Linked DNA regions of Schizosaccharomyces pombe. The protein of the gene in region 1 interacts with the protein of each later gene in a biochemical or structural test. Each region holds a gene or a part of one and is shown in the gene's direction. Other genes may lie near its edges. The genes, in order: cnp1, ani2, sim3 and cbh1.

The links.
Region 2: the proteins of cnp1 (region 1) and ani2 interact in a test that uses a peptide from one of them, tested with the Schizosaccharomyces pombe proteins (one study listed by BioGRID).
Region 3: the proteins of cnp1 (region 1) and sim3 form a complex in vitro, tested with the Schizosaccharomyces pombe proteins (2 studies listed by BioGRID, with this or other methods).
Region 4: the proteins of cnp1 (region 1) and cbh1 interact in a test that uses a peptide from one of them, tested with the Schizosaccharomyces pombe proteins (one study listed by BioGRID).

Annotation. Positions count from the first base shown.
Region 1 is NC_003423.3:3,534,145-3,542,102, forward strand, and holds cnp1 (centromere-specific histone H3 CENP-A), read left to right. Parts: upstream 1-4,359; 5' UTR 4,360-4,456; coding exon 4,457-4,819; 3' UTR 4,820-5,059; coding exon of another isoform or gene 5,060-5,548; 3' UTR 5,549-6,019; downstream 6,020-7,958. Other genes in the region: DNA-binding transcription factor Rsv2, read left to right, coding at 1-700; 3-hydroxyacyl-ACP dehydratase Htd2, read right to left, coding at 1,259-2,161; signal peptidase complex subunit Spc1, read left to right, coding at 2,945-3,028, 3,074-3,160, 3,216-3,281; RNase P subunit Rpr2, read right to left, coding at 3,416-3,739; pth3 (peptide release factor), read right to left, coding at 5,060-5,548; adi1 (acireductone dioxygenase family protein), read left to right, coding at 6,078-6,614; SPOM_SPBC887.02 (ClC chloride channel), read left to right, coding at 7,118-7,247, 7,359-7,958. UniProt on the Schizosaccharomyces pombe protein: Histone H3-like nucleosomal protein that is specifically found in centromeric nucleosomes. Replaces conventional H3 in the nucleosome core of centromeric chromatin that serves as an assembly site for the inner kinetochore.
Region 2 is NC_003424.3:4,322,624-4,330,198, reverse strand, and holds ani2 (FKBP-type peptidyl-prolyl cis-trans isomerase), read left to right. Parts: upstream 1-1,730; 5' UTR 1,731-1,827; coding exon 1,828-2,916; 3' UTR 2,917-3,052; downstream 3,053-7,575. Other genes in the region: dolichyl-diphosphooligosaccharide--protein glycosyltransferase Ost1, read right to left, coding at 1-1,095; SPOM_SPAC27F1.10 (uncharacterized protein), read left to right, coding at 3,406-3,711; SPOM_SPAC27F1.05C (aminotransferase), read left to right, coding at 5,093-6,547; protein Nuf2, read left to right, coding at 6,992-7,575.
Region 3 is NC_003423.3:777,791-785,847, reverse strand, and holds sim3 (CENP-A chaperone, NASP family, Sim3), read left to right. Parts: upstream 1-3,364; 5' UTR 3,365-3,585; coding exon 3,586-4,776; 3' UTR 4,777-5,249; downstream 5,250-8,057. Other genes in the region: GTPase-activating protein Gyp1, read right to left, coding at 1-735; syj2 (inositol-1,4,5-trisphosphate 5-phosphatase 2), read right to left, coding at 7,266-7,430, 7,481-7,532, 7,578-7,796, 7,842-8,057. UniProt on the Schizosaccharomyces pombe protein: Histone H3 and H3-like CENP-A-specific chaperone. Promotes delivery and incorporation of CENP-A in centromeric chromatin, probably by escorting nascent CENP-A to CENP-A chromatin assembly factors.
Region 4 is NC_003424.3:4,456,494-4,464,895, reverse strand, and holds cbh1 (CENP-B protein 1), read left to right. Parts: upstream 1-4,017; 5' UTR 4,018-4,126; coding exon 4,127-5,671; 3' UTR 5,672-5,976; downstream 5,977-8,402. Other genes in the region: abc1 (ABC transmembrane transporter Abc1/Ybt1), read left to right, coding at 1-1,817; pyridoxal reductase Plr1, read right to left, coding at 2,111-3,112. UniProt on the Schizosaccharomyces pombe protein: Binds to centromeric K-type repeat DNA and ARS3002 DNA. The CBH-binding consensus sequence is Py-Pu-A-T-A-T-Py-Pu-T-A.

The DNA of each region.
Region 1 (7,958 bases):
CAGCTTCAATAAAGAATCTATTAAACAACGCATCCCTTCTTTGTCTCCTCCGATAACGCGATCATACAATGCCAAGCATCGCCCCTCCTTGGTGCTTGGTACGTCGGTAAATCCACATTCACTTTCTCCTTCACAGCCTCCTGTTGTCGTACCTTCAAATACTACGATCAGCTCCTCTCCTCCACTCACTTCTCCTGTTAAAACCTCTGCTAATATACCTAACTTATTACCGACTTCAGAGTTAGACAGTTCCAACGCTCCTCACTCTCAATCGGCTGCTACTCATGACCTAAATGACGTTAAGTCGTATTACAATACTAGGTCTTCTCATTCCGTGGTACCTAATCCAACCAACCAAAAAGTAAGCATCACCGGTGCTGCTGCTGATGGCCCCAACGGATCTGCTCCTGTTGACACCACTCCTACAAATTCTTCTACTACTGCTACGGGTGCTCAGAGGAAGCGTAGGAAGTTTAAATTTGGTAAACAAATTGGTCCAGTTCGGTGTACTCTTCAGAACAGAGTTACAGGAGAAATTTGTAACACAGTGTTTTCTAGGACGTATGATTTGATCCGTCACCAGGATACGATACATGCTAAGACACGACCTGTATTTCGATGTGAGATTTGTGGCGATCAACGCCATTTCAGTAGACATGATGCCTTGGTTAGGCATCTCCGTGTGAAACACGGTAGATAAATTGAAAGGAGTCTCTTCTGCCACAAATATTAAAAAAAGGTTATTGCATTATCTATTGTCATTTTTCACCTCTTACGCTTCTTCATTGATTCCTTGTTTATGAATTTTAAAAAAAGTTGCATTTTGCTAATTATTTTCAAGAAAAAAATTGGTACCGTTATTATTTCACAGCCCTTTTGAAAGTGCTTTTTCCTTTGTCTCCTTTCATGTACATTTATCATCTTAATTTTGCCTCTTCATTTCATCGTATCCTCAAGCTTCATGTGTAATTTCAAACCCCTTCTCCGTCTAACGGTTTCCTTTTTTATTTTGGACGGTCATAAGTGTTTTTATATTTTGTTTTCATTTTTATTGGGATTGGTTAATATTGTTTTTTTTTTCTTACCAAGTTACTGTTAAATGTTAATAAAAAATTTTGTGTGTTTTCACCTTAAATTGAATACCTATCATGTAATTTGATTTAGTTTTACATACTTAAATTTTAATATTAGTAAGTAGTATTTGTAATTTAGAAATATTTTTTCTGCCGGTATTAATTATTATTGTTTTTCAGTTATGTTAGGTATAGACGCGGCCTCTAGCAATCAAAGACGGTGGATCAAGGTCTGTAGTAAATCGATCAATCCATAGGTTACCTGTCTCTGAGATACATATGCGTAGTGGTTGATTGACAAACGCGGGAGATAATAATCGAAACTCAAATCTTTTCATGTTCTTTGACATTTGGGGATAAACAGAACGAAAGTACTCTAACATACTAGTCACTAGAAGAGGACCTGGAAGAACGAGATTTGGATAATTTTCGGACTTTGTAGCGTATGTCGCATTCCAATGGATCATATGAGCATTAAACATTAATGCTGAATAGCGAAACACCATAATAGGTGTAGGTGTGAATACCCAAGAGTGTTGTGGAATACTTTTGCTACGTAAAGTTTTTGGTATAGCCAGTTCTTGTCGATTTAAATAGGCTAATGTTCTATCTTCCTCGATACATAATTGATGCTGACTGTCGTAAATTTTTCTTCGAATATATACATGCTTTGTCTGTTTTTCTGAAGTAGGCTTTGTTAGAAAAGAACTTTTTGGAAGACAAGCTTCAACTTCTTTTGTAATTGATGGAGATTTCACAGATTCTTCCTGAATCAATTCATGACATTCCGAAGTTTGGAAAAGATGTAAAGGTCTATGAAAACGAAGGACTCCATGTAACCATATTCGGCGCTTAAAAGAAAAAGGATTATTTGGCTTTGGGGAATAAAGACTTTCATATCCATCTGAATTCAAATTTGATTCAGGAGATGCTAAAGAGAAAAAAAGAAAATGGTAACCAGGCTGTAATGATGTTATTTTAGCATCCATTGTTATGCAACTAACAGGCAAATGACCACTTAAAGTAGCTTTTAACTTATCAATTGGCGCTTGAGATAAGAAATCCTTTAAAACGACCTTTGCTGACATCGATGATTACTTTCTGAAACGCTTTGCACATTGACTTTTCAAGTAGGCAATTTATCAATACTGAAGGTGATCTATTAGAAATTATTATAAATTAGCCGAAGCAATTATCCCTAAGAAGACCTCAACTTTTAAAATCGGAAAGGACAAATCTTTGAAGCAATAAGCTCTTAATTTTATGGAACCTAATAACTTTAACAGCTACACATTACTAATTGCTTTTGGCACGACCCAAATTGCTTAAGGTATACGTGTAATGCTTGTTTTATACCGTTAGTGGAGACTTGACCTCTTTTAGCAATGAAGTACTAGCAAAATTTATGATAATCGCACATCTAATAAAAGATAATTTCACCAAATGAAAAAAAAAACCACCTAAGCAATTAATATACGATTTAAGTCACATACATTTAAATTAAGCCCTTGTTGGTGAATCTTTATTAATTATTAATCGTTTATGAACGCTGAAGTACCTTAACCTGTTAATTGTAAAGATCATTTCTATATAATGTTAATAGGTCATCAATGAGCCGCTTTTTCATTTTCAAATCGAATTTGACATTGAGGTGTTGATTTACATCTATTGAAAATGAAGGAGCAACCGATTTGCCTATATATTTTCATGCCTCTTTTTTTGCTTGTTTTTTGTTTCATATTCATCAATGTACAACGTGCTATTGGATTACAACACGTTATTATGGTAAACCGAACGATAACGAGATTCATTCGTTGTAACCACATAATACAAAAAGCAACTTTACTGTTTTGAGAAAGAGCAAGCATACCATGAACTATCTTGAAGGTACGATCGATTTTGCAGGACAATTAAGGTGTCAAAAGTATATGAACTATGGTCTATGTACAAGTGCTGTATGTCAGGGATAAAATCTCATTTATTTACTAATATATCTATAGGTTATTTCGTACATTTATGGGTATTTAGTTCAAGATTCTTATTGTGTGATTAAATTGTTTTTAATTTTAGCATCGTTGGTGGCTCTTGTAAGCTAGTTTTTTTGCTTCTAGTCATGTAATATTAACATTCATTTAAAAATAGGTGTGTCTTCCTGCTTGGTCTATGTACAACAAAAACCCTTTAAAATTTCAAAAGAAAAAGGAGTAAGCGGGAAATGGGGAATCTTTCTTTACTTGAATCGCAATCTCGCGAAATTAAAGAACCAAAATACCAAACAAAAGTTGCTCCGGCTTTATAGAATACAAATAATCTTTCATTCCAAAAGTAATGCTAAACATGTTTTAACAACTTTTGTCCGAAAACCTTTTTTTAAACGCACATTTTTTGCATATCCACAATACACGATCGATAGATGGATTTTTCCGTGATGGTTCCTCAAATCTTATTGAACATGACTTTCCTGGTACCAATAAAGAGTTACATCCTTTACATATGGTGCGCTTTATATCTGGGTGTATTCGCATTACTGATTTTTGTGAAACATCCTTGGCTGTAGAGATATAGTGTCTCGACAATGTAGGTTCTTGAACGTTTCTAAAAAGTAATTGCGAAGCCTGGTATAAATATGATACCCTTGCATGTTGGTCCTTTGACTTTGTACTCATCTCGACCGTTTATGTTTAAAACACTTGAGCTATTAAAGGAATTGCAAAACAGAGAACAAACAACTTTCCGTTTTTATAATGGAATGCAAAAGTCAAAAAAATTATTTTTAACTTAACAATTTAATTATGTTTCTTATAAAAATCCTTCATTAAATTAATTAATAAATAGTTAATGCTTGTTGCAGTCTGATTTTACCATAGGTCAAATTTTTAATTTGTTTTTCCACGGTAAACTGCGTTATGTAATTCTTTGTAAAAGAGTACGATAAATTTTTAAGGCTTTTGGATCAATTATAACCGAGATATAAAGAGAGCACATATGTTTATTCAATTAAAAAAAAATCGGTCTTGAGTTTCGCTTGGGTTTATATGATTAATTTCTCTTACCTATAAATAGTGAGAAATCATATATTCGTAAGCTATTATTAATACTTGTTCTTTTTAGCTGATGATGTGGAACGAACAAGAGCCTAATATTTTCATGTATTTTAATGATTTTCTTGTAAAACAGTAGCTTTAGTATTTTCTGACAAAGAACTTCTGTTTGATTGTTTACATTTTTAAATAGTGAGCTAAATAATTTAGAGTCTATGCTAGTCGCGACGCGTCAAACCCCTGTCAAAACCAAAACTCATTGTATCGAGCTCTTGCATTTGTTCCAACAATTACTGTTTAAAAACCTTTATTCCCAAAAGAAATTGATAGGAACAACTTAATATGGCAAAGAAATCTTTAATGGCTGAGCCTGGAGATCCTATTCCACGGCCACGTAAAAAGAGATATCGTCCAGGTACTACGGCGTTAAGAGAGATTCGAAAATATCAAAGGTCTACAGACTTATTAATACAAAGGCTCCCGTTTTCAAGAATTGTACGAGAGATATCTTCAGAATTTGTAGCCAATTTTTCAACGGATGTTGGTTTGCGCTGGCAATCTACGGCACTGCAATGTCTTCAGGAAGCGGCTGAAGCGTTCTTGGTTCATCTATTTGAAGATACGAATTTATGTGCTATTCATGCTAAACGAGTGACGATTATGCAACGAGACATGCAATTAGCCAGGAGGATTCGTGGTGCTTGACACTATATATTCAACAAAAAAAAATAGTTTTACGCTTAATCATATTGAAATTGGAATTGCTAAGGTATGATCAGTTTAATTGATATCAGGTGATTTTGAGACAGATCTTTAGCTACTCATTATAAGACTCTAAGCATGCTATCTACCAAAGAATTATTAAAAAAAATGTACGAATATGCTCATAATGAATGATAAATCTCACTCCTAGTTAATGCCATGTGAGTACCGAAGCAACGCAAATTAGATCACGTCTTGTTTCGCTTCATTATTATTCAGGCTGGAATCCTGGTCATCAATCTTATTTCCATACTTCCTTTTACTTTTTTTCTCTCGCTGTTTTTTCTTCTTGACAATACGTTGAACTTTTCTTGCTAAAAGACTATCGTTCCCGTGTTTGAATTCATCTACTTTCTCCGTTAACCGTTTCCTTGCAATACAACGATTTTGTTCACGTGAACGTGTGTCTTGAGATCGAACGATAATTCCCGTCGGAATATGTTTGACTTGGGCCACTATGCTAGTTTTATTTATTTTTTGTCCACCAGGGCCCTTTCCACATATAAATGTTTCCTCAATATCTTCTTCTTGGAGTCTTTCTAGTTGATAAGGTGTTTCTTTTTTAGAGCAATACCATGTATGCCGAAAATTTAGTTCTGCCAGACAAGAAAATGCATTTAGTCTTACTGAAATAAATGTTTTGTTCAAACACTTTCGTGCTGCGCACAGCATCTATGTTCACCTAAACGTGTTACTGCTAATAAATAGACAAACTTGACTAAAATAAACAACCTTGTCCTTTGGAATGATAATAGGCGGTCTGGTTGATTAGCGTGAAACTTGCTTAATACATTAAAAAGTTATAAGGGGATTTTGTATTATTGCTTTTCTCAAAGGTTACTGTTACAAAAAAGAAGAAAACAGAAACTTCTAAATTAGCAGAAAATTCACGATGTTGGAATATCGATGAACAAAATTGCGCACTTATTGCATAAGTTTAAAACTCTTTAATGTAATATTCTATTGTCACACTGCCCCAATAATATTTGTTTGGCATAATGCAATAGATACTGTATTACATTACATGCACAGAAGAATTTTTTTTTTTTTTTTTATTTTCACCTTTACTCTCACTCGAGTAGTGTTTTGCCTGCTTTCCAATTGACACCTCTTCTGTTTAGTCTAAAGTTTTTCGTTCAATAATTTAAAAAAGTCTTAATTTTCTTTAATTTGCTCGTGACTCAACATAAAAATAACATCAATGAGAGCATACATTTTCCAAGACGAAGGCGATCAAAGAAAGCCGAATGACTCAAAGATTGAAGTTTCAGCTGAAGATTTAGAAGCTGCTAAAGTGTCCTATAGACATCATGATGGAGATCTACATACCTTCGCCGATGGCCTTATGAAAGAATATGGATTTAAAAATCGGGATGAAGTTGTTGTTAGTAGAAAAGGACTTGGAGATCGTTATGACAATATGGTAAAGAAGTTCTTTGAAGAACATTTGCACGAAGATGAGGAAATTCGATTAATTCTCGATGGTAATGGTTACTTTGATGTCCGTTCTGTCGATGATAGATGGGTTCGAATTTTTGTTGAGAAAGGCGACTTAATAATACTTCCTCCTGGAATTTATCATCGTTTTACTACGACCACTGATGACTATATACACGCAATGCGCTTGTTTCATGAAAATCCAAAATGGATTGCATTGTCTCGCACAGATTCAACCAGCGAGGAACTGGATGCACGAAAAAGTTATTTGAACAGTATTAAAAAAAGTGTTTATGTTTAATTAGGTATATGCAACAACTGATTTATATCAATAATCTTACGTATGGATTAACACTAGATATTAATAAGAAACTTCCTTTATAAGGGTTTAATGTACAATAAAGATAGTAATAAATATAGTCACTAATCATTTATGATCATATTATTTTAAGTTACTGATTGTATTTGCTTATTGGAATGCAGCTTTCAATACACACAATTCTTTCATCTCGCTACGACACAACAGTCCCTACCTACTCACTGCCTACCTTTTGCCGCTTAACGTTTTGTGCTAGTCATTTTTTTGTTTTTTAAATCCCCATATTAAGGATAAAACTAAATTACTTCCATGTTGAGTAAACTGCGGAAGACTATTTAGTTACTTGCCCGGAATCCTTAACCTCTCTAACAAGCATTAAATGCGTCAGTTACAAGCAGAACTCTTACGTTTATTCCTTTAAGCTATTAGGTGAATTTATATATTTGTTAACTAACGACAACTATTGACTGGTACAAAATCTTAAAATGAAGGATGACCAACTCATTGATTGGATTCACGAGAGATATGAAGAGCAGAAAAGTGCTAATCGTCTTGCAGGCCGTTTCAGGTTTCTAGGTTTAGAAACCAAATATTCAATTATTTCCATTATTTCAGGTACGTAATCCAACCATTTAAATGCATCTGCATGTTGGTAGTGTACGTGATATTTTATTTGACTGTTGATTTACTGTATTCTCTTTATCTGATTTCTGACATTTTTGGAAGGTATATTTATCGGCTTAACAGCTGCTTTATTAAATGCTCTCGCATCATTACTTAACAGTTTTCGTGAAGGGTATTGTACTGTGAATATACTTTTTGACAAACAGACTTGTTGTTCAACCCTAACGGAGGACTATGAATGTCAGGAATTTTTTTTTTGGAGAAACAATCATTCCGTTTTTGTTTCTTGTTTGATATACGTTAGTGTTTCAGTCGGGTTTGCATTCATAGCAACTACTTTAGGTTATGTAGTAGCTCCTGCTGCTAGAGCTAGTGGCATTCCGACAATTAAAGCAATTTTGAGTGGCTATAAATACCCTGATATGAACGTTTTTTTTTCTATAAAAACCCTTTGTTCCAAATCTTTAGCTGTTTGTTTCAGTGTTGCATCTGGTTTATGGGTTGGAAAAGAAGGGCCATTTGTTCATATAGCGACAAATATAATATATTTAGTTGAAAGAATAGCTCCAAGTCTTGCTGATTCTGAAATTTTTACTAGACAATTGCTTGCTGCTGCTATGGCCTCCGGTATTGCTGCTTCTTTTAATGCTCCTGTTGGTGGTGTTATTTTTGCTTTAGAACAACTAGCTTCTAGTTCTTTTC
Region 2 (7,575 bases), on another chromosome or scaffold:
GGGAAAAACATAAGACCAAACGGCTTTCTCATAAATCATGTCACCAGGTGACCATGCCAGAGGAATATCAAGATATTCCCTTCTATTCTTGGAAGAGCGGAACTCCTCGTAAGGCATTTTCCAATCCAATTGGAACAAATAGTTCCATCCCCCAAATACAGGATAGCGAGGATTTAACTCGATCCATGTCTGGTGAGGCTCAACTCGCATATGAGATGTGGTAATGTTTCCCACCTCATCGGTATAGTAGACATCCTTGGAATTTCTAGGAAGACTATAGACGACTCGATTAATAGCAGTAGAAACTGGATTGTAAAAGTTTCCCATATACCACTTGGCACGATCGAAGTTGGACTTCAGCTTGGCAGCATGGTTTTCAAAAACCACACGCTCCGAGACTTCTAACATTTTTCGGTATTCATGCATATCAATTTGAACATAGAGATCAGCTCCGCGAGGAATAGGTACAGTATGCTCATAGCGAACATAGATTTCACCTAAATCATTGTCCTCCCCGGTGATAGTCTCACGGCTTTCGTAAACCAAAGTATTGCCAACACGATTGGGAAGTTCAGCTCCATCAATATTATACGTAGTATATGTGTCAATTTTAGCAGAAGGGAGTATAAGACGAGTGCGTTGAAGATCAGTAGTGTAGGGACTATCTAAGTAAAGGGTTGTCAGGTAAACCAAATATTGTTCTTCGTCTTGATCCACAGCTGCTGGTAAAGGACGAACACCACCGTCCAAACCTGCCTGTATTAATAAAGTACGAGATTCACCAGGTTTGACAGGAGGTTGTAAAGGAATATCATAAACATTGTTGTTAACTTTTATAGGGTTAGTTCCTTTCTTTTCTTCCTCTTTTATCGATACGGAGAGAGACAAGACACTTTCGCCAGGTGAGGTCTGCTGAAAGTAGCGATATGTATTTTGAGGCTCATCTCCTTCATTTACAATAATTAAAGAAGTGAGAGTTTTGGTATAAGTGGAGCGTAAATCAATCGTACGAATCGCGTTACTATTTCTCCATACCTGCTCAGCTAAACTGAGCCCAGATATGATGGACCACAACAATAGCTTGAGAACTAACATTTCTGAAACCCGCAACCAGTGAAACTTGGAAAGCTCAACACTGTTTTAGAATAGGTAATAAATGAATTTATTACAACCTTGAAAAACGCTGTTTACAGATAACCTTCAAGAGGCTATGCGTTTAAAGAGCGGTAATACGTTCAGGTTAGGTTTGCCAGCCCAAAAACCAACAATATGCACAACGTAGTGTGTATACACTCGTTAATATCTTTAATGACTTGGTGGACTAGTTCGGTATACACATTCCGATTAAAAAAAATTGTTAAGTAAAATTAGATATTCGAATAAATAGTAGTTTCTCCGTTAAATTAATGCTAAAATAATTATGTTCCGTTCTTGAACTTTAAAGAAAATTTTCACAAATAACCAGGCTTTTTCTCTTTGACTACTAAGATCACGAATGAAGATGACGGCGACTTGCTATTTGAGTATTGGTAGTAAAGAACGAAAGTACATGAAGATTAACCCCTACTGCTAATTATTTGTACCTTTTAAAATTTTCTATTGAGAATGCATCAAACTGAAAAACGCTTCTAACGCTTCCGTTTTGGTTCGGTAATAATAAGCTTATGAATAGGCGAGATAACATTACTTAAGGCGTCATAAAGGTTTGCTACTGGTACAATTTTTTCATCAACACTTACTCTACTCTGATATACCAGTGGTGAATTTCTGTGATTCCCATCGTCTATTGCGTATCTTTTTGGATTTTATTTATTCTAAATAAACAAAATGAGTAAGGAAGAGACCCTTTACAGTGTTAAAGTGGATCAGGAGCGTGTTCCTCTTTTCGATGAAGACTTTTATAAAGGCTTTCGTAGCGAATTATCTGTTCGTTTTACGATGGCAGCTTTGGATCCTAGAGCTAAATCAAATGATGCCGTTACAGTAAACGTGATCACTAGGCTTGAGCACCCCGAAGAAGATGGAGAAGAAAGTGACGAAGAACTTTTTCAAGAAGAAAAATTTACCCTATGCACCCTTAAAAAGGGCTCGGTTTACCAGCAACCAATTGACATTATTTTCTCTCCTGGAGAAGAAGTTTTCTTTGAACGAGTTGGTGGTGATATTCCGGTTTATTTGAGCGGAACATGCATAATTACAAACATTCCGGAGGAGGAGGATAGTAGTGACCTCGAGAATGACTTTCTTTATGGAGCAGATGAATTTAGCAGCGATGAAGAAGAAATGGATGATATTTCCGTTACATCAAGCGAAGAAGAAGAGGAAGAAAATGGTGCTCGTATAGAGGAGTTGAACAGTGACGAAGAGGATGCCGAGCAAGCAGAAGAAGAGATTTTAGAAAAGCCTGTTCCAAAGGATGAAGTTGCTGAAAAGCATTCCAAGGATAAGCTTAAAAAGGAAGAGAAAGAAAAGAAAACTGCTGTCGACGTATCAGATTCTGTGAACGGCAAAAAGAGAAAGACCGAACCCGCCGGTGAAGGAGAACAAACTGAGAAGAAATCTAAGTCTACAAAAACTTATCCTAAGCAAGTACTTGAAGGAAACGTTACGGTTCAAGATAAAGTTAAAGGTGACGGACCAGCTGCGAAGCGCAAAAAGCGCGTTTCTATGCGTTACATAGGTCGTCTTACTAACGGAAAGGTATTTGACAAAAACATTACCGGAAAGCCCTTTACTTTTAATCTTGGACTCGAGGAAGTGATAAAAGGGTGGGACGTTGGTATCGTGGGTATGCAAGTAGGTGGAGAACGTACAATTCATATTCCAGCTGCCATGGCCTATGGCTCTAAACGTCTTCCAGGTATCCCAGCCAATTCAGATTTGGTTTTTGACGTAAAGCTTTTAGCGGTTAATTAATTTTGTGTAGTTTGGTTCATAAAAAAATTATGGTTTAGTTGGGTCTGGAAATTACGGAATAGCAAATTTTTTGAATATTATTCGAATTATTTTGAGGTAAAGTAAGCACTCTAGTAGAAATATGTATGTTACTGAGACAACTAATTGGTCGCAGTAAGGTGAGGATCTTGAGCACTCTTTTAAACTGATGATAGAATTAGATGTGTGAGCAATAATGGGCATCAGAATAAATAAAACACTTTTTTTATTAGTCGTTGTCTTGAAACATGAGTGAGGGAAAGCACAATCGCTACTAGTTATCTACGGATATTTGGTGGAGCCACTAGAAAATTTTGTATTTGTGAATTTATTATATGAAGAAGGCTACTAAATACTCTTATTCCCTCAATTTTTTAATTGAGATTTCATAATTGGTTTTCGCGATATCTCTCATGTATTTTATCTACTGCAAGTTGATTTAGAATAAAAAAAGAAATTATACATAGTAGGATGCAATTAACTGGATCGATCTACCCATGGTTTACTGCGTATGCTTTATTGAAATCCACGCTGATGGAACTCATCAATTCGTTTATACCGTACAAATCTCAAACTGGAAAGGCACCAAAGTGTCTGGTTCCTTATTGGCTTTCAATTCGTCTAAGTTTACTTTACTTTAAATTGACAGAGGCGATATCATTTACCGAGAAGTGCGAAAAATATAATATTAGCTTATTTGATTCAACTTTTGTATTTGGCTATATCGTTAACTGCTTTTTTATTATTCATTTAAACACGTTCCTTACATCACAGTGAATCAATAGATGCTTTGTTCTATACCGAACGTCTTTATTTTTATAAGTCACTATGAATTCTTTCTCCGATTTTATAATCACTTTCCAAGTTATGTATTTACTGCATTTCCTGGGCTTTTTGCATCAACATTGTAAACTGGATCGGACTATTCAATACCAACAAATACGATAGATCACTGTGTTGGCTTTGCGACACATCTTTATTTCCTCTTTCATTTTCGGCTACACCAAGTTCGGCCAACATTCACTCCGCGGTATCTTTAGATTACAAAGCTGAGCCGAATACGGGGATCTCAAAGTATATCAAGATCTACGAGATGCGCAGTGTGTAGAGAGTTACAGATTATAGCAGGAATGAAATTTCAATTTCTATCTCTAGGAAATTTAAGGCTCGGCGGTATTATCGCGACGGTCAAAAGAACTGATCGTTATATGAATATGAGATGATTTAATACATTTTATTAATTTTGAATTTATTAGATAAACTGATTCAGACAGAAAGCTGTCATTTATATCTTATTGTGACCTTTATAATTTATAATTTATTTATTTATTTTTGCTTTACAATTTATTATCCTAAAGACTGTATACGACAAGTGACAAATATTATTTTCATTTTTATCGTTTTAATATATCTATATTTATTTTATATTTAAAATTAAATATCCAGACACAGCTGAATGCCCTTTTTTAAACATTTTCCAATTAATTCATAAATAAATAAAAATTATTAAAAAAAAAACATGTAACCTTTATTACATAGATATCCACAATCAACACCAGTTTTATTTCAATAAATTAAATCACATAGTTTGATTCAATCTAATCTTTTTAATTAATTATTATTATTATTATTTTTTTTTTGCTTACTTTATCCTATGTAAAATAGTTCTGCGCAATCATTTGTTTCTGCTCCAACATTATTATTAGCGCCAAAGCTTTTTTGAACTAAATACACTTCATTGCATGATATTTTTTCTTGAATTCTTATAATTGAGACCAATTCTGTAATGATCAAATATTAGAGTATATCTTCTTCTCGGTTCTGCCCGTCGGCCAACTCGAAGGCTGTAGTACGCTAATTGCTATCTGGGCAGTACGACTTTGATCGGGGGATGTGAGAGAGGTAATAGCCATTTTTCGGTCAAGTACATAGGAATATGGCATTGATGATTTTTACTATATATATAGGCTAAAGCTGCCTGTGAATGCCAACAATTGTAAAAGGTTAACATTCATTCGACCTTTTCTTCAATCTAAGGAGTGGATTATACAAGGTAACCATATACTGTAAAGATTCATTTGGAAATTACATTTAAGAAGCTTTGAGTTAAGAACTATCTTTCCTGCTCGTTTATTTACGTTAAATTTACGCACTTATCATGATTGATTCCACGTCCACTGCTACTGCTACCTCAAAGACGGTTGAACTTAACACAAATGGTTCAAAAACCGATGCCTCCTCCGAAAATGGAACAGCCAGCAATTATCCTGAGGGTTTGTGGTGCTTCGACGAAGCCATGAAAATGGACCCAGAAACGACTGTCAAGTTACAACTCGACCACTTAAACAAGTTACGCACTGTCCATGGCCACGCTCGCAATTTTGTGAAAGCTGATAATTCTCGTTTTGTTGATGAAAAGGGTACTGAGCATCTGGACTTAATTGGAGGCGTTGGAGTCGTAACGGTCGGTAACAACAATCAGTATGTTTGGGATTGCTTACAGAAATGCTTTGATGCCAAGTTATATATGATGGGTGCCATTTCCTATCGTAACCTTGCAGCTGCCTTTGGTCGCAATATGGCTTTGCTATCTCCTGGTCAAAAACTTACTCGCACATGGACTGCAACCGGTGGTGCTGAAGCTAATGAGGGAGTTATTAAATTGATTCGCCTTGCTACCCGTTATAAGCCTAACAAGAAAAAGTTTCTTTCTACTTTGAACTCTTTCCATGGTAAAACCACTGGTGCCGTCTTTTTAGGCGGCAAAGAAAAATGGCAAAAATATCAAAGTCCTGCTCCTTTCGACGTTGACTACGTCCCTTACGGTGATGCGGAAGCACTTCAAGTTGCCTTATCCTCTGGTATGTACCGTTCATTCATTGTTGAGCCTATTCAAGGCGAAGGTGGTGTTATTGTCCCTCCTCCAGGTTATCTTGCAAAGGCTCGTGAACTTTGCACTAAGTACGATACATATCTCGTTTTAGACGAAATTCAAACCGGTTGTGGTCGTACCGGTAAATTCTGGGCCTGTGAATACGAAAACATCATTCCGGATTGTATCGCTTTCGCCAAAGGATTTTCAGGCGGACTCATTCCATTTGCAGGGTATATCGCTACAGAGGAGCTTTGGAATGCTGCTTACAATTCCCTTGAAACGGCTTTTCTGCACACTGCCACTTATCAAGAAAACACTCTTGGACTTGCCGCCGGTGTTGCTACCATCGATTATATCGTGCAAAACGACCTTCTTTCTAGATGCCGCAAGTTAGGTGGTATCATGTTTGATCGTCTTAATAAACTTCAAACAAAATTCCCTCATGTTATGAAGGATGTTCGTGGTCGAGGAATGATAGTTGGTATTGAATTTTATCCCATTCCTGAGTCAGTTCAAGAAGAATTCGGCGAATACTATGCAACTCCTATTGTCAATGACCTTGCCGATACATATCACGTCCAAGTCTACTGTTCACTCAATAATCCTTCAGTTTTCCGCTTCCTTCCTCCTTTAACTATTCCAGAAGCCGACTTAGACGAAGGTTTGTCAGCCGTTGAATCTGCTGTTGCAAAGTTTGATGCTAAGGTTAAGGAAGCTGTTGCAGCCAAGTCAACCTAAAACTTTGGTTTCATCTATCATTAGCCCTTTCAGGCTTTTAGTAAAGTTGGGTCATCAGGCATAAATGTTAATTTTTTTATCTTCTTATCTAGTTTCAGCTTTTATATGCTCCTTATATTGTTTCTTGCTTACATGCAACGTTTGAGATAAACCATCGATTGTAAAATTATATAAACTATATAGAACTATTTTAAATCAAATCGTTCACTTTTTAAAAAAGATATATAAAACGGAGTTGTTAATTTACTATGTATGACAGAAGAAAAACTTATACGAAATTCAGCTTTGTTCTTGATTTTTTAAAAAGAATGAAAAATTGAATATCTAGAACATGCAACTAAATAAAAAATTTAAATTTTATTTTATTATATTTATAATTAAATTCACAATCAAAGCAGATTAAATACGTAAAATCCAGTTGTTCAGTTAACCATCAACTTTACCATGGCACGAAAACACACATTTCCTTCTTTGAAGCGTGCTGAGATTTTAGAATGCATAGATGGTCTTGGAATTCCATTCACGGCTAAAGAGCTTGACCAACCAACCTCGAAAGCCGTCATCCCTCTGTATGAAGAATTTCTTGACTTGTTTATGGGGTTGACCCGCCAGAATTTAGAAGAGAAGGTTAATTCGTTACAAGATTCTGTCGAGAATTTCGAGATAATACATGAGTCTTTAAGATTTACTGTTTTTTATCAGATTTTAAGTCAATTCATGCAAAACATCTGTTTTCATGACTTTACGATTCAAGACCTATTGAAACCAGACAGAAATCGACTACAACTAATTTTATCAGCAGTTATTAATTTTGCAAAACTCAGAGAAGAGAGGTTACAGCAATTTGATGATGATATACAGAAGCGAGAAAGCCTTCTGGAAACGTATACCCTTTTAGATGCACAACGAAAAGATTTAGAGGAAAAAGTTTTGTTAAGCCAAGATAGGAAATTGGAAAGTGAGGCAATTATTAAACAGAATGAAGAAAGAAACGAAGAAATGTTTCAGTCTTTGATAGAAGACAAACG
Region 3 (8,057 bases), 2.8 Mb from region 1:
CTTTAAAGTGACTTCACGACGAGAAGCATTACAAGGTAAATATCCTAACAAGTATTTCCAGACAATAGGTCTATGTTCGGAGGGAATTCCATTCCAAGCCAATGTACGAAGCGCATTTAAATCCACAATTGGAGCATCAAGAATTCGCGAAAACTTCTTGATCCGAGAGACAAGCGCATTGCTTTCAGCAACCTCAACTTCTACAGAACGATGGGCTAGTTTAGCGGGTAAAGGAAAACGACCAGACGAATGAAGCTTTTGTCTAGAAGTGGTAGTATCCACGCCATTTTGAGGAAATAAGGAGCGGCTTGAAGAATTTGGAGTAGTACTTCGAGCCATACGAGGAAGAGATTTTGAGGCTTTAATATTCGAAACTCCCCAATCGTCATCTGTCTGTGACAAATATTTGGCAAACTTTGCAGACACTTTTTTGCCTACAACAGCTTCCAAGGAAAGAGAAGATCTCGCAGAAGGTGCATAGATTTTAGACTCACTAGCAGATTCGGGTCTAGTTATGGACCGGGCCAAAGAGATATGATCTTTTGGGGGTTGATCTGAGTAAACAGAGTCGTCCAATCTGAACGGTTGAGCTTTGGAAGAAGTGCTTCGACCACGATGGTGATGGGTCCGGCTTCGATCCAAAACAGTAACTGGATCCGAAGTGGCGCTAGAGGATCCATTCCATAAGCTGGAGAGAGTTTTTAAGGCGGACGACTTTTTTGACTGAGATTCCATAGTGGAAAATCTTAAAATACGAGAAGAAAAATTGTTTTTACAAAATGAAGCAGTAATTTGATAGCCTTGATGGACACAACAAATTTAGCAAATAACAGATACTCTTTGAATTTATCGCCAAAATAAAATACTTTTGGTTAAGATGCAAAAAACAGTTTCAAAATTTGCTGTAAAAAGTAGATGAAACGTTTTAGAAGGCAATAACTTCAAATGTTTAACGACGAAGGATCTTAGGCACCACTCATAGACTTACCGGACTTGAAGTCTTATTCTTTTCTTATCAAATGAAAACTATTTTCAAAAAAAAAAAACTTAAGCTATTAGAAGCAAAGCCGTGTCTGTGGGTTCCATCCAAACGAAAACGCACCAGCTCGAGATCTTGTGATCTATTAGAACAGCGCGGAATTTGAACACGAACAAATGTTTCGAGAAAACCTTAGATACAATCCAATACACTAGTATATTTACAAATTTTAACCGAATATCAACGAAATTGTGAAGATTTACTCGGTCTGTGCAGTTGCCAAGGCAGTTGCCCTTATTTGGTGGAAGAACAAAACAATAGGGAGGAAAACAGTAGGTGTATGGAGTTTCTTATATATGAGGTTTTTTTAATAAAAGGAGCAAGGTTTAATACTTTAATTATTTATCTCACTTTTTAGTTAAAGGAAATTCGTTTTAAGCCATGAACAGTTGATAGAAGGATTTTGGCCGTGCATGGTCTTATTGCTTGGGAATGTTGGGTTTATATGCGCAGAGTAGTAAAAGATACACAGCTAGGTCTCATTTAACAATGTTTATATCTATGAGTTCTATCTCTTCTTTACTTAAGTTGCTGCCAGTAAAAGTGAACAATGTAATTTTGACAATTGTGACTAGTCGCTTTTCAAAACAAAAAAGAGAAAAGTATAAACGTTGATTAAGAAACGTAAAAAAGTATTTCCTGTCAATAATGAATCTCTGATTTTATTGTTATTTTTCGTATTGACATCCTAGTTACCTAATATAATACGATGAATTATAAGCATTTTAATACCTACTAAGTTTAAATTTTCCTGAAATACAGTCTAAGATTTTCCTGTTCCTATATATTTCTAACAAAACACATTTTTCAAGTAGATGATCAACGAATCTAGTCTAACTTTCAATCCCAGTCTTTTTTTTAGCAGTTTCGGGTATTTGTTTTCAAACATGTATTTATATCTTTGATTCAGTAAAATTACTTCAACAAATGCATTGAAGAGGAATGATTTAAAAAACATATACGGTTTTCAATGTTTTAATGAACAGAGCAATTTTCCAAATGTTGTCTTGTCAAGAAATTGTAATGTATGTTCTCCAAAACTGACATGAGAACAAAATAAATATGTACTAAGATAAATTTTATATTGAGAACAATCAAAAATTATAGTAAGTTTAATAATCATCCAAAAAACACTTTCCTTCTCTCGTTTACATCTTGGAAAACACTCTAGAGTATCGTTATTCATTGTGATGAAATCGAAACTACAACTCCAATCCAATAATAAAGGTTACTGTATGACAATAAAATAAACCATACATCTTCCCTTTAAGTCGTATTACGACTTGTAAGAAGATTTCCTGGTTGCCAAAATATCATTCATAGTACACAATAATATTATGTGCAAAGGTATTGAAATGAATAAGTACGAATCAAGGTAAATGATTATTATTCCCAAATGAGCTCAAACAAAAAGCAAAAAGAATAAAAGGAAGCCTACAGCACCCCGGATTCCCATGTTGTCTCCAACCATAGTACTAACGAGGCCCTCAGACGCTTAACTGCAGTGATCGGACGGGAACTGGTGTTTTCGCCTAGGTATGGCCGTAGACGTTTAAAGTAGAATATTTAAACATTTTAAAGAAAAAATTAATAATCAGTCAGAGTACTGTCGATTCACTAGAAATTTTCTATTTATTGTTTATATATTCATACAGTAAGATCGTGAAGTATTCAAATCCTTGGTATATAGAATATTATCTTCATGCATTCAAAGATCGTTTAGGAGCTATTTGTACAAGCTACTTGGTGCATATTTGTCTGTTTATATTGCAAAGTCAAGAATTTTAACATAGAGAAAGAATAAAATGAAATGGAATAAAGAAATGTTAAATAATGTTATGAATCAGACTTGTTCTTGAATTGCTAGTCATAACAACTTCTATAAGACTCAACACGTTTACGCGCTTTTTATGAATGTAATACGTTAGACAAATTAAATAGACAAGTACAGTCTATGTGTCATTGACTCAACACTTAAGCATTTATATGATCTACAAAGATGAAGTCTATAACATGATCTATCACGTATTATGAATGCTTAGCCATGGCTGCTTTAAGAAGATCATCTTTTAATCCATAAAACAACATTGTTTTGGCACGAAGCGAATGATCCGTTTTGCTTCGCTTTGCTGGAATAAAAATGAAGCTGTCAGAACGAATCCTATACATCGTTAAAATAGAGTTATTAACAAAGGAAAACAAATAAGTTCAATTTGTTGCTCTTGTTATGCCATCAAACGCTCGCCTATATACGCTTCATCTTACTCCCATTACTTGCCAATGCTAATAGATTCATACATCTGCAAAGGCTCACCTCTACTTATTAAGAACAAAACAGAGTGGTTTTAACTCATTATCTATTAGGAGAAAAAGCCAGAATATATTTTTATTAATATTTCTAATCTAAAAAAGTGAATTATCGAGTCGTTTTTTCTTTTTCACTATTCAGTCTGTTGGGTCACTTTGGTAGACCTAGCGTAATATCTAATTGTCGTACCTATTACTTGAAGTCTTGAACTTCATAATTTTTAAAAGTTACGCGAAAAATGTCTTCTGATACGAAAACACTGGAAAATAGCAAAGGCAATAGTGCTACAGATGCTGATACCAAAAACCCTTCTTCTTCGGATTCGCGAGCAATTGAGCAACTAGTCACTCAAGGTAATATGGCTTATGCTCAAAAAAATTATGAGGAAGCCGTTGATAAGTATGGTCAAGCGCTCATGCAGTCAGAGTCCATTCATGGTTCTGAAAGTTTGGAGAATAGAAATGTTCTTTGGCTGTATGGAAAATCTCTGTTTCAAATAGCTATTGAAAATAGTCAAGTCCTGGGAAATGCGTTGGGTGCCAAGGAGTCTGTGTCTCAAGCAACCGAAAGTTTTGAAGAACCAGAAGCTATTGGCTCGTTCACATTTTCTGGTCAAAAAATTGAAAATAAATATACCGTCAATGAAGAAAATTCATCAATAGCACATCCAGAGAAGGAAAGTGAAGAAAAAGAAACAAACGAAGCATCTCCAGCTTCTGAAGAAGATGAAGACGATTTTAACGTTGCTTGGGAGGTGCTAGATCTAACAAGAGTCATGCAGTCAAAAGCAGTAGATGCTTATCCTGACAGTAAGGATGAAAAGATAAGACTGGCGGATATTTACGATTTATTGGGAGAACTTTCTCTCGAAATTGAAAACTTTTCTCAGGCTTCTCAGGATTTAAAAACGGCCCTTGAGTGGAAAGAAAAGGTTTACAACGTTTCAAATAATACACTTTTAAGTGAAGCCCACTATAAGCTTGCACTAGCACTTGAGTTTACCAATCCAGAAGATCCCTCTAACAAGTCCCGCGCTTGTGAACATGTGGAAAAGGCTGCAGAAATCTTAAAAAATGTCTTAAATGAGCGGGAAAATGAAGTTACGGATAAGAAAGGGAAAGGAAAGCAAAAGGCTGAGGAAAGCACGTTAACTAGCGATCTTGAGAATTTGCGCGAAATGCTATCGGAACTTGAACAAAAGACGCTTGATTTAAAGCATGGCGCGCCAAGTTTGGAAGAAGCTGTTATGTCAAAGATGCATGAGTCATCCTTATTATCTAAGGATAGCAGCAGTCTCGCTCAAGCTGTTGCTGAAGCTGTGAAAAATGCCAATGATTTAGGTGGATTAGTAAAACGGAAACGTACGAAGCAAGAAGTTACTAGCTCCTCTCAAAAAGAAGGTCCTAAAGATAAGAAAAAGAAGGATTAATTGATCACAATTAGTTGAAGTTAGCAAGAGCTCTCAATCGTTTAGCATTTCTGTTCTTCATTTACATACACAATGGCTTCCTAGGAGTATATGTCAAAAGAGCTTTTTAATTGCTAAAATTTAATTGCTTTATTACAAAGGAATTGTTTAGTATAATCGCAATGAAATATGTATATGTGCTATTCTTTCTATCTTGCAAATTTGAATCTTATGAAGGGTCATTTCCTAAAATATATATGAAAGATCCATTCCGCATCTTTTTCATTAAGCATACGGGTTCGAGACATGATATTGCAATTTACGATCCTACAGTTTAAAAAATTAAGGAAAAGAAATATATGTTTTTACTCATGTACGTGTCAAACACGTAAAATCGAAATATTGCATTAAGCAGGTATTTATAAGGCAACGTTTCTATATAGGTTGAAAAATAAGATAATCAAAGCAGTTGATAGTACTAAATTAAAATGGCGTTATAATTATATAAAGTTCTTAAAGAGCATGTTTAAACAGCTACTTTGATTGCTTGTAGTTATAGTCTTCAACGTATTTAATATGGAAACTTAAGTAAAAAAACATAAATTTAAAATGCCAACTCCTTTACTCCTAAAAAAAATTATTTTTGTTCTATTTGATAAAAGATGGATATCAAATAGCGCTATCTAAGCCGTCTGCTAAACACTATACCATACAAGGTACATACTCTGTAAATGTCTTAAGGATACTTTAAACGGGCAATTTAATTGTGAAGTACAATATTGATATAGACAGGAATATAATAATAAACAATGTGTAGTATTTTTTTTAATGGTTTAATCATGCCAGTGTTTGGGCATCTCACAATCAGCTTAAGGGGCGTAAATTCCTTTAAAATTTAATTTTTAAGGATTCAGATTGGAAAAACGACCTTTCTTAGATAACTATTTATCTATATCCGTAGAAACGGCTCTAGATAAAGAATCCAAATAGTGATTTATAACGTATTGTAGCGCTGTTCACCTATAGGAATTGTAATCACATTTACCGTATATATATTTTGTGCACTCTAACTTGTTCTACTATCTAAGCAATTTATTCACATACCTACTTACGGAGTCTGCAAGAACATACAACAAAACAAGTTTTCATTATTGGTTTTTTTTAAATCAATCCCCAAATCCAAGCATCATACGCCAAAGTTTAAGTAAGAAATATCTTAGAATATGGCGTTTAGGAATCGAATGTACCAATTGTCAAATGTGGATGATGCTGACGCCGATATTTTAAATTCTCACTTTGCACCAAACCCACGAGGGCAAAATCATACACATGGACGCCGACGCAACACGTTAGCTTTATGTACCACGAAGGATCAAATGTTTGTTTATGGCTCTACGCCGGCAGGGGGCGCGGAATGGTGCTCCTGAGGCGCTTGAGCGCTCAAGACCTCGTGCTGCCTTTAAGCAGCAGAGGCGTCGCCATGTTCCACGTTGGATTAGTGACAGTTTTCGAACGTGTTTGCCTAAGCCCTCCGGCATACTGAAGGAACAGACGGTAAATGAAGAGGAAGGCAATTCAAGACATAGAGGAAAATATGATTGTGATGAAAGGATCGGTGTTGCAGAATCCATGAACTATTGGCATGGGATAGTTCGGACTGAAGAGGATGGATCGAAGACTCTATTTTTAATACCTGAAAGTTGGGAAGACGTTCATTTGAAAGAAGGATTAGTTGCCATCATAGACTTAGCCGTGGATCGGCTTCACTGCTCGAAGCTGGTATTATTCGTTGATAAAAATAACAGTTCTCTCCCTTATTTAGTAAAAAGCTTACATTGGGTGGGTTTTGAGCCTCTCCCACATCTCAATTGTAGCGATCATGCTCTTTTCGGCATGGAGCTGTGAACGAGACTATATCTGTTTATCCTTAAGCTTTGATTCATCCTTTATTTGCATCTCAAAGTAAGAACACTGGCAAATTTTCTCGGTTGTTTTGATAAATTTGTTATTGAGCTGAATTGATAAAAATATATGCCCCTCATCACATGTCATGGTTAAACTGTGAACATATTATTTCTTCCTCCCCCATTATTATTTTTCATGGAACTTCATTAAATATTTTCTTCGGTTACACTTTGTCTTAGGTGTGCTTGGAAAGAGTCAGCGAGAATTTATTCAATCCAGGTTCATTTATTACTTCCTTGTGAATACCAAATTTATTCAATTCACGAGGCTTTTCATGATTTAGTTGTAGATTTTATTTAGATTGGGTTTACGATCATATTTTTGCTTTTATTACCCCTTTTTTTAAGTTATGCCTGTTTTTTGGTTATATAGTTTGAATGCTTTTCTCTCTTTAATATGTTAATAATACGAAGGAAACATCAAAAAAATATATTATTTTAAAACAAAAATTAAAAATAAATAGATAGATTAAATGTGCACTTTAAATAGTTGGAAATACGAAATTTCAGCAAAGGGAGGCGTAGATCATAAATAATCGTTAACGACTATTTATTACTATTTTTGCTTTTAATATAAGCAATCCTTGCGTCTCTTATGATTCCGGCTTTCTTGTCCATACAAGTACTGAATATTTTAAGGCTGAAAGTAGCGAATACAGGACGATGATCGGAACATCTAATGTCACAAGATTTATAGCAATTCCTAGTAAACTAAAGTTTCGGTTAGAGGTACACTACATTGAAATATATCTACAACTTACACTTTTTGTGGCCAAGATTCGATCTGTCCATGAAGGCACTCTCTGTTTATCTCTATAGCCATGTTAACAGTGTGGATTTGGTTTATGGTAAACGTACGAAGTGTCATAATCATTGGTTCCATTATCAAATTTGTAAGTAGGAAGAAATGTTAACTGTGGTTCAACTAAACCATGAAACACGGTGCCTTTCTTCATTTCTGTGCATAACTGATCATATGAAGCCAACTTGTCTAAGTCGTCCAGTTCAACAAGTTTTCGAACTTCTTCGTTATCAGAATCTATACGATAATTAAAATCACCCATCCATAAAATGTTCCTATGTTTGTCAGTAATGATTTTTTAAATACTTATCGTCACATACGTATGATCATAAATTTTCATTCCAGATGGAAAAACAAGGTTATCAGATATACTTGTATACTCCATGTTGCGCTCCGAAATATTATTAACCTTAGGAGCGAAATGTGAAGAAACAAAACAAAAATCCGAGTCGCAAACATTCATTTCAATTGCAACGGCACCCTTATTGGCAGAAAACCCGCCAAAGCCTGTCTTTCGAGTTGTTTTGGTAACTTTT
Region 4 (8,402 bases), on another chromosome or scaffold:
TCGACAGTACCTTAGCTTCTTCAAGCGATAATGATGAACAGCGAGATTTTGCTTCAAACTCTAGTATAGTATTACTGGGATTACATTACTTGAAATACTTTGGTTCTAACAAATATATCCTAGGGTCAATACTACTAGTTATGATGTCCCAAGTTTCGTTGGCCAGCATTCATTTTTGGATAGCTTTATGGTCCGGAAACTCTTTATTTTCACTTAAGCTTCCTTCTTCTTTTTCTTTCTTATGGGGCTATGCTATACTTTTGTTTATATACTTTCTTATGGATTTATCGCGTGCAATTACTTTTGCCAAAGGTGGTAGAACGGCAAGTGAAAATATCCATGATATTTTAAGTGAACGAGTTTTATATAGTCCGTTACATTGGTTTGAGAAAACGGCTGCTGGGAGGATATTGAATAGATTTTCTAAAGATATGTACGCCACGGATAATCTGTTATGGGCCTCTTTGGAAGGCATGTTGTTGTGTGTAATGGCTATATTAATAACTATGCTAAACGTTACTTTGGTGATGCCAATATTTATGGTGCCGGCTGCTTTTGTTAGCTTATTGGTTTATCTTCATGGATATGCGTACTCAAAGGCACAAAAACAGCTTACCAGCCTACAATCCTCGAGAACCTCACCTGTTTTCACTATGCTGGGAGAGACTTTAGGAGGGATTACAGTTATCCGTGCTTTTAAAAAGGAGAAGATTTTTGAACATGAAAATATGGCTTTTATTGACGATATGATTCAACCATTGTATATATCATTTGCTATTAACAGATGGCTGGCAATACGTACGGATGGGATAAGTGGCCTAGTAGGGTTTTCAACTGGTCTTATTGCTTTGTTAAGACAAAACATACCACCTGGACTCGTCGGATTCTCTTTAAATAGTGCCATTGGTTTTAACATCTCTGTACTCGTTTTTGTTAGGGCTAACAACGAAATTTTGACATACATAAACAACTTTCGCCGATTATATGAATATATGCTTTTACCAAGTGAAAAGAACGAAAGTTCTTGTTTGACGAAACCTATGAATAAAGAATGGCCTACTTTGGGGCATGTCAGCATCAAAAATCTTACAGTCTCTTATTCAATTGGCCAAGCGGCGGTTTTGGAAGACATCAACTTGGAAATACTTCCCAAAGAGAAAATTGCTATTGTTGGGCGAACAGGAAGTGGTAAAAGTACAATGGGTTTAACTTTACTTCGCTTTACGATGATCATGTCAGGTGCGGTTGAAGTAGATGGCATTGATATCAACTCTCTAGATTTGGAAGTCCTTCGTCAACGTATTAGTTTAATTCCACAGGATCCTGTGCTAATATCCGGTACGGTCCGAAGCAATCTTGATCCTTTTGAGGAGTATGGAGACGGAGAACTAAATGAAATACTTAAGACTGCTTCCTGTGAATCTTTAGTGCAAGCTTCAAACAAAAATTCTCTTGACGCTTTTGCGATACATCTTGACACACCGGTTGATTCAGGAGGTGTCAATTTTTCTTCCGGCCAAAGGCAAATTCTAGCCCTTGCACGGGCGTTAGTCCGAAAATCTCGTATTGTTATTTTGGATGAGAGCACAGCGTCGGTAGATGATACTACTGATCGAAGAATTCAGCAAATGCTTCGTGCAGCATTTAAACATGCTACCGTTTTGTGCATTGCCCATCGAATTAAAACAATTGTAGATTATGATAAAGTCTTAGTATTGGATTCTGGTAAAACGGTGGAATTCGGATCCCCCAAGTCACTATATACTCAACGACGGGCGTTTTGGAAAATGTGCAAGGAAAGTCATATTAGTCTTTGAATATTTTTTGCTGACTTTCAATACATTCCATTTGTAGAGCAGCTTTAAACTGATCGTGAGCACCCATCATTTTCTTTTTTTCTTTTTTTTTTAGAGCATACTAGAAACATTTAAACGAGATCGAGCAGAAATCGGTAATAACAAGCCAAACTCTATAAACAAATGATTTAACATTTTCGCTGTAAATAAATTGTCATTACTGAATACCTAAGTAAGGCTAGCATATAATAAGTTTATATTTAATATGCATTTCAAAACTGAAATGCGAAAGAGTATCGACTAACTTCAGCACTTTAAACGGAAAGAGTGCCCGCAAGCTGTTCATTATAACGTAACCCGTAGATTGGGTATTTACTCAAGACCTCTTTGGCCTCTTTAAATTGTTCAGGAGACAAAGATTTATTCAGTGCATTGAGATTGCTCTTTGTACGAGAAACAGATGTGGAGCCAGGAATAGGAATGACCAGACCGTTTCCAGACGCCATTATAAAAAGAAGTGAAAACTCGGGCATAGTCATACCAAACTTTTTAGCAAGTTGCTCGACAGCTTGGAGGAATGGAAGATTTTTAGCAAAAACATCAGGGCTAAATCTGTCCAAATATTCTAAGAATGGGAAAGATTTAGCAAATTCTTTAAGGTCTTCGACAGTCTTAATGCGACCAGTCAAAAGGCCACGACAGAAAGGAGAGTATGCAATAATAGGGATAGATAACTTCCTACAAATATCCATAATACCGTTTGTCTCGATATCACGAGAAAACAAGGAGTATTCGACTTCGACTGCAGCAATGGGGACCACAGCGTGAGCACGTTTGATAGTTTCAGCAGAAACTTCGCTAAGGCCGACACATGAAATCTTTCCAGAGTCCACAAACCCCTTCAATGTCTTCATGGTTGTCTCAATGGGAACATTTGGGTCGACTCGAGCACATTGGAAGAGATCTAGCTTTTTGGTCCCACGTAAATGAGCTATCACATTTTCAACACTCTTTGACACGAAGTCCGGATTTCCATCAGGAACTAGTGTTTTAAAATCCAAACCACCTTTGACAGATAAAAACACCTTATTAGCGTTTTCGGGATATTTTTCAAAATATCTAGCTAATAAATCTAAATTAGAGGTGGGAGGGTCGACACCATAAAATTCACCCGCATCCCAATAATTGGAGCCTTGGGATAAGGCATAATTCATTACTTCAAAGGCTTCTTCATCTGGAGTTTGCTTGGGCTTCCAGGTTAAACCCATAAGACCAAAGCCAATAGGTCCGACTTTAAATCCGCTAACGATAGGCATCTTTTCACAACTTTAATTTAAAAATGCTTAACTCTGTAAATATCAAATGTGTATTCTCAATTTTAAGCGAATAATATTGGAAAAACTAAGCTGCTAGGTATGCAAAGCTTGCTATTTATATGATAACGGTACCGTATGCTGTAAGAATTTCCTAATGGTTCTTTGAGACGATGCTTACTAATTAGTTCTACTGTTAATAATAATGAATCAAACGTAAGTAACACCTACTCTTCGTACCGTAACTAGCTTAAACAGCTTTGTTCTTTATTTTTGGCTTTGCTTTTATAAATTTACTTCTACATTTTTAAACATTGGATCACACGTGTAACATACATTATTGAAATAGACTTGATAGTAAGTATTATGAATTGAACTATGAATGGAAATATTGGAATTAAAAGTAATTACACCAAAACTGAGAACTTACATATTATGTTATTTGAAAATTCGAGAATTTATTAAATGAAAGAGAAGGGAAAATGCTCATGAACTTCAGAATCGCCATTTTTGTTACAATACCAAGGAACATTTATTTATTTACACATTTTTGTTTAATAGTGAGAAGAGGTGTGCTACAGAAATGAAATTTGAGGAAGTATTCAATTAGACTCTCATTTAAAACATATATGAGAATTGATTTTAAACGGTTTCTAACAGCGTTCATGTCGTTCTTTCTCCTATTTTTTGCTCTTGAATTCTCTTTTTCTTACTGACAAAATCGTTAAGATACGCAAATTTGCTATATTAACCTGAACGTCATAATTTGAGCATCTCCAATGGCATTGTTATTACAGATTAACAATAGGTTCGGTATATTGCACTTAGATTATATAGGGTGCAAGGCAGAAGGATGCACTAGTAGTACTCACCTTCTTAAACCCTACAAGGATAGAATTCGTCTTTTCACCGTTATTTCCGATATCTACTACAACATAAAATAATTGTATAAATCCAAGGCTATACTCTTATATCGGTCTGGAAAAGTATCGGCATAGTAAGTATTAAGGAAAATCAATGCCTCCTATACGCCAGGCCGTCTCTTTAGCAGAGAAAAAGGCAATTCGAGATTATTATAACCAATCTGCCCATAGAATTCCTCAAAAGGAAGTGACAGAATGGTTTCGAAAAACGTACAATAAAGATTTATCGCAGTCAACGATTTCCGAAATTCTTTCACCCAAATACAGTTATTTAGATGATGGAAGTGTAAGACTCGGTGATATTAAAAAAATTCGAGCTCCAAAGTTTCCTTTGCTTGACAATGCCGTGTACGAATGGTTGCAACAAAGAGAAGTTGAAGGCCTTCCTATATCAGGGGATATGATCAAACAAGCTGCTACTCGATTTTGGTCGAAAATTCCGGCGTATGCTTCTCTCCCATTACCAGACTTTAGCAATGGTTGGTTGGATAAATTTAGAAGAAGACATTATATCCAGCAAAGTGCGGTAAATCAGGCATTGGAATCCATCAAATTTGAGGTGTTTAGAGAATACCCAGTTCATATTCAAGAGTTTATACGGCCTTATGCCCAAAAAGATATATTTTGCGTTGGAGGGACAAGCCTTTTTTGGAAACTCACTCCTAATAAACAAAACTTGGATTATCAGGAAATCCAGGGAATGAAGCGTGGAAAAGCCAAAGTGTCTTTAATTATGTGTTGCAATGCCGATGGGTCAGAACGACTACCTTTATGGATCGTGGGTTATGCACAAAACCCAAGATCTTTTGAGCAGTGCGGTATTTTCCCTAAAAGTATGAACTTCGAATGGAAGTGGAATGGCCGAGCTTCAATTTCACCAATTATTATGGAGGAATGGCTTCGGTGGTTTGACACACGTATGCAAGGACGCAAGGTCCTATTGATGTTAGAGAGCAATGACACATATCAGTTCGGTGTTGAAAGTGTTCGACGGTTTAAAGGTGGTTTTCAGAACACCTCTGTATTTCGAATTCCAGAAAAAACATTGGACATTAAGTCTCCGTTTGAACAAGGAATAGTCGATACATTTAAAGCGAATTATCGAAGATACTGGTTGCAATACTCCCTTAATCAAATCAACATATTGAGAGATCCTCTAAAAGCCGTTAATGTTTTAAAAGCCATTCGGTGGATGCTTTGGTCTTGGAATTTTGGGGTGAGTGAAAAGACTATTCAAGCATCTTTTCTCCGATCAGGATTATTGGGTCCACATTCCGAGGCCGAAGGACAAGGAATGGAGTCGTATCAAAAGGCCATTATGGAAATTGGTAATCTGATTTCAAGCAAGGGCAGCGAAGCTGTTAAGCAAATTAATGAATACATTAGACCTTCTGAAGAAGATGAAACCAAATTACATCAAGATGCTGTGGATACCGTTGCTGCAGAGTTTCTGGAGGAGAGACGCTTTGAGTCGGATGAGGAAGAAGACGTGGAGCCTCAAATATCAAACGTGGAGGCTGCCATGGCCTTTGAAGTCTTAATAAAATATTTTGAGCAACACGAAAATGGGGATCCCTCGTTTGTTTTAGATTTGTACCGCAGACAAAGAGTGATTGCCCCTAATAATTTAATAGCGTGATCCACTTACGGAAATAAATTGAGAGCGAGTCTTACTAAACCCAATAAGTGCTTCACGTTGGATGATTTCAATCTCCAAAGCAAACAAATTTCCAAAAAAAAAATATAGTGAAACAAAAGTCGACACTCGTACAAAATTACTTTTTTTAATTGAGATTAATGTTTCTGCTTACTTTTGGTTAACTATGGCGGGCGGCTTTGAACCCTTCTCGTTTAATATTCTTTTAAATTCACTTAGTGTGTGTACATATACCTGAACAACAAAACATTTTATAGGATTCTAATGATATTATGAATTATTAATGATTTTTTTTGTATAAACTGTGTCACATTGTGTTTTCCTTTGTTGTATGCAAGACAGAGATATAGAGAAGCAGTGAGAACAATTAATAAATAAAAATCAGTTAGCGCGCAAATGAAAAATAAAGCATTAAGCAATGATGCTTTAATAATTTAATTTAATTTAATTTAATTTAAATGCTATAGATGATGAATGATCATATGGTTTTGTGAGTGAGATGCTGTTTGAGTTGTTGCGCTGGTAAACCACTATTGGAAATGCTAGAAAAATGGGTAGGGGTTTTGATATGACTTTAAGTCCGAATCTGAAAACCGAACCATTAATTTTAATAGCTAGGTAAAAAAGCCACACACAATCAGAGATTTTACCAAAACAAGACATAAAAAAATCACATTATGGATATGAGGCAACTGGAGTGTGGAATTTAAGGAAATATGTTTATATAATTATGAGTTTTCATTGAGCTACAAAACAGAAGATATATTTCATTGAATAATTTCTGTAGTGATGACCCACTTTAAAAAAAAAAAAATTTGAAAGTAGAGTAAACAAAATGGAATATGCCATTTTTAAAATACACACTAGAATGATCCACACTAGCTATGGTGATCTTAAAGTATATATACATATCTTCTTAAATCTTGAAAGTTTTGCTTATCAGATCTTTAACGCGCTCCAGTACGAAAAAATGGCATGCTTAAAACAACAATACAATAATGTGATGAGTAATAATATGGGTTATTAAAAAAGTAAATTGGAGAAACAAAAAAATTAAAACATTGGAAGAGTGTATAGTTCTCACGGTTTTGCGTTTTATGTGTTTGAATTTACAAATTTCAGTGATCTTCGCTATCTTGACAAGTTGCACAATGGAAATTGGCACTGCGACCATGAGTAAAATAGTTTGAATTTCATTTCCAAATTTAGTTGCGATGTTTGCGAACAAATTACTGAGTGATTTGAATGTAGAGCAAAGATGATTAGTTAGAAGAAACAGATAGAGGGAAAAAAGAGAAGAGTTAATAATTGAAATAAAATAAAAATAAAAAAAGGGAAATAAGAAAGCAAAAAAAAAAATTTTATTAGCTCTTGAAAATGTGGATGAAGCACTTCCAAATAGTAAAATTTGATTAGGTAAACAAACCGAAAAGAATAAAATGAATGCCACCGAAAAAAAAAATGTATGCAAAAAAAAGAACAACAAATGGAAACGAAAAAGATTTTCTAAAGCAATATCAAGAAAAATTTTTTAATTCATTCTAGTCTTCCTTAATCAGCGTCGCATTTCGCATATTCAATACTTTCTTTCATTTTCCTTTGTTGCATGCTTTATACCATAGCAGGTTATGCACTAATCACATGGACTATAAACGAAGACAAATGTCCGAAGGTGGTCAAAGTGCGAACCGCTTAACGAACCTTAACACAACAGTGTCAAGAGAAAGCTTCGCATGTTGAAAATTTTAAAAAGACGCAGAAAGGATACTTTTGCAGTAGCAGCAATAGGTCGACCAAAATACTGGCTCATAGAAAGTAGTAGTATTATATTTATGATGCTAAAGAGGTTGCTAATTAGGATGCAAGCGATGGGAATATCAAAGAAATGTAATAAAGAGTAGTAGGGACAAACACTCAAGAAATAGAATTTTATTTTATTTTTTTATATTTTATTTTTCTTTAGTAACAAATGGAACTCTGGTTCGTTAAGTGAAAACAAAAAAAAAAGACACGTTGGCATAAAATCGACTCACATTCATCAATCAAGACCAACTTTGAAACACATTATACTGCTACTACTACTACTACATTACAACCGTTGTGTTTTTGTTTTACAACTACCAATCCAGTCAATCCCCCACATAGACCAAAATCTCCCACACACGTGAACCCCAGTCCAAGTCTTCACCAGTCCCCTCCATCCCACCCTTTCCTAGTCTTAACGCTCACCCTACCCCCATAAGGATCGAAATCCCCCACTTTGCGACTTTCAAAGTACTGGGCGGAAACTGGCGTAGCTAATGTCTAAGATGTCAGCGTAGGTGGCGAATTTTAGTGTCTCGGGTATATCTGTTTACACAAGCGTTTGCTACTATTACCAATTCCTAAATACAGAATAATGGTTTAACCAACCGCTCGATAAACTCTGTTTCCCATTTTTTTACTCTCATCGCTTGGCCATGATTCGCTTCGCATGCATTAAAGTAATTACGGCACATTGACGTAATAAACCTTATTTTGAGGTCGTACGAAAAGAGCCCAACTCCTCGCGGCCGTAGTGGACGTGCGGGTCAACAAACCAAACTAAACAAACGCTATCAGAAGATTAAAGTTTCTTTTGTTATGCATATGTATGAAATCCCACTTTTGTTTGTGTATCAACGTTTATGCTTGGTTATTCAACGTAATGGCTTATCTACGTTTATGCTTTCCA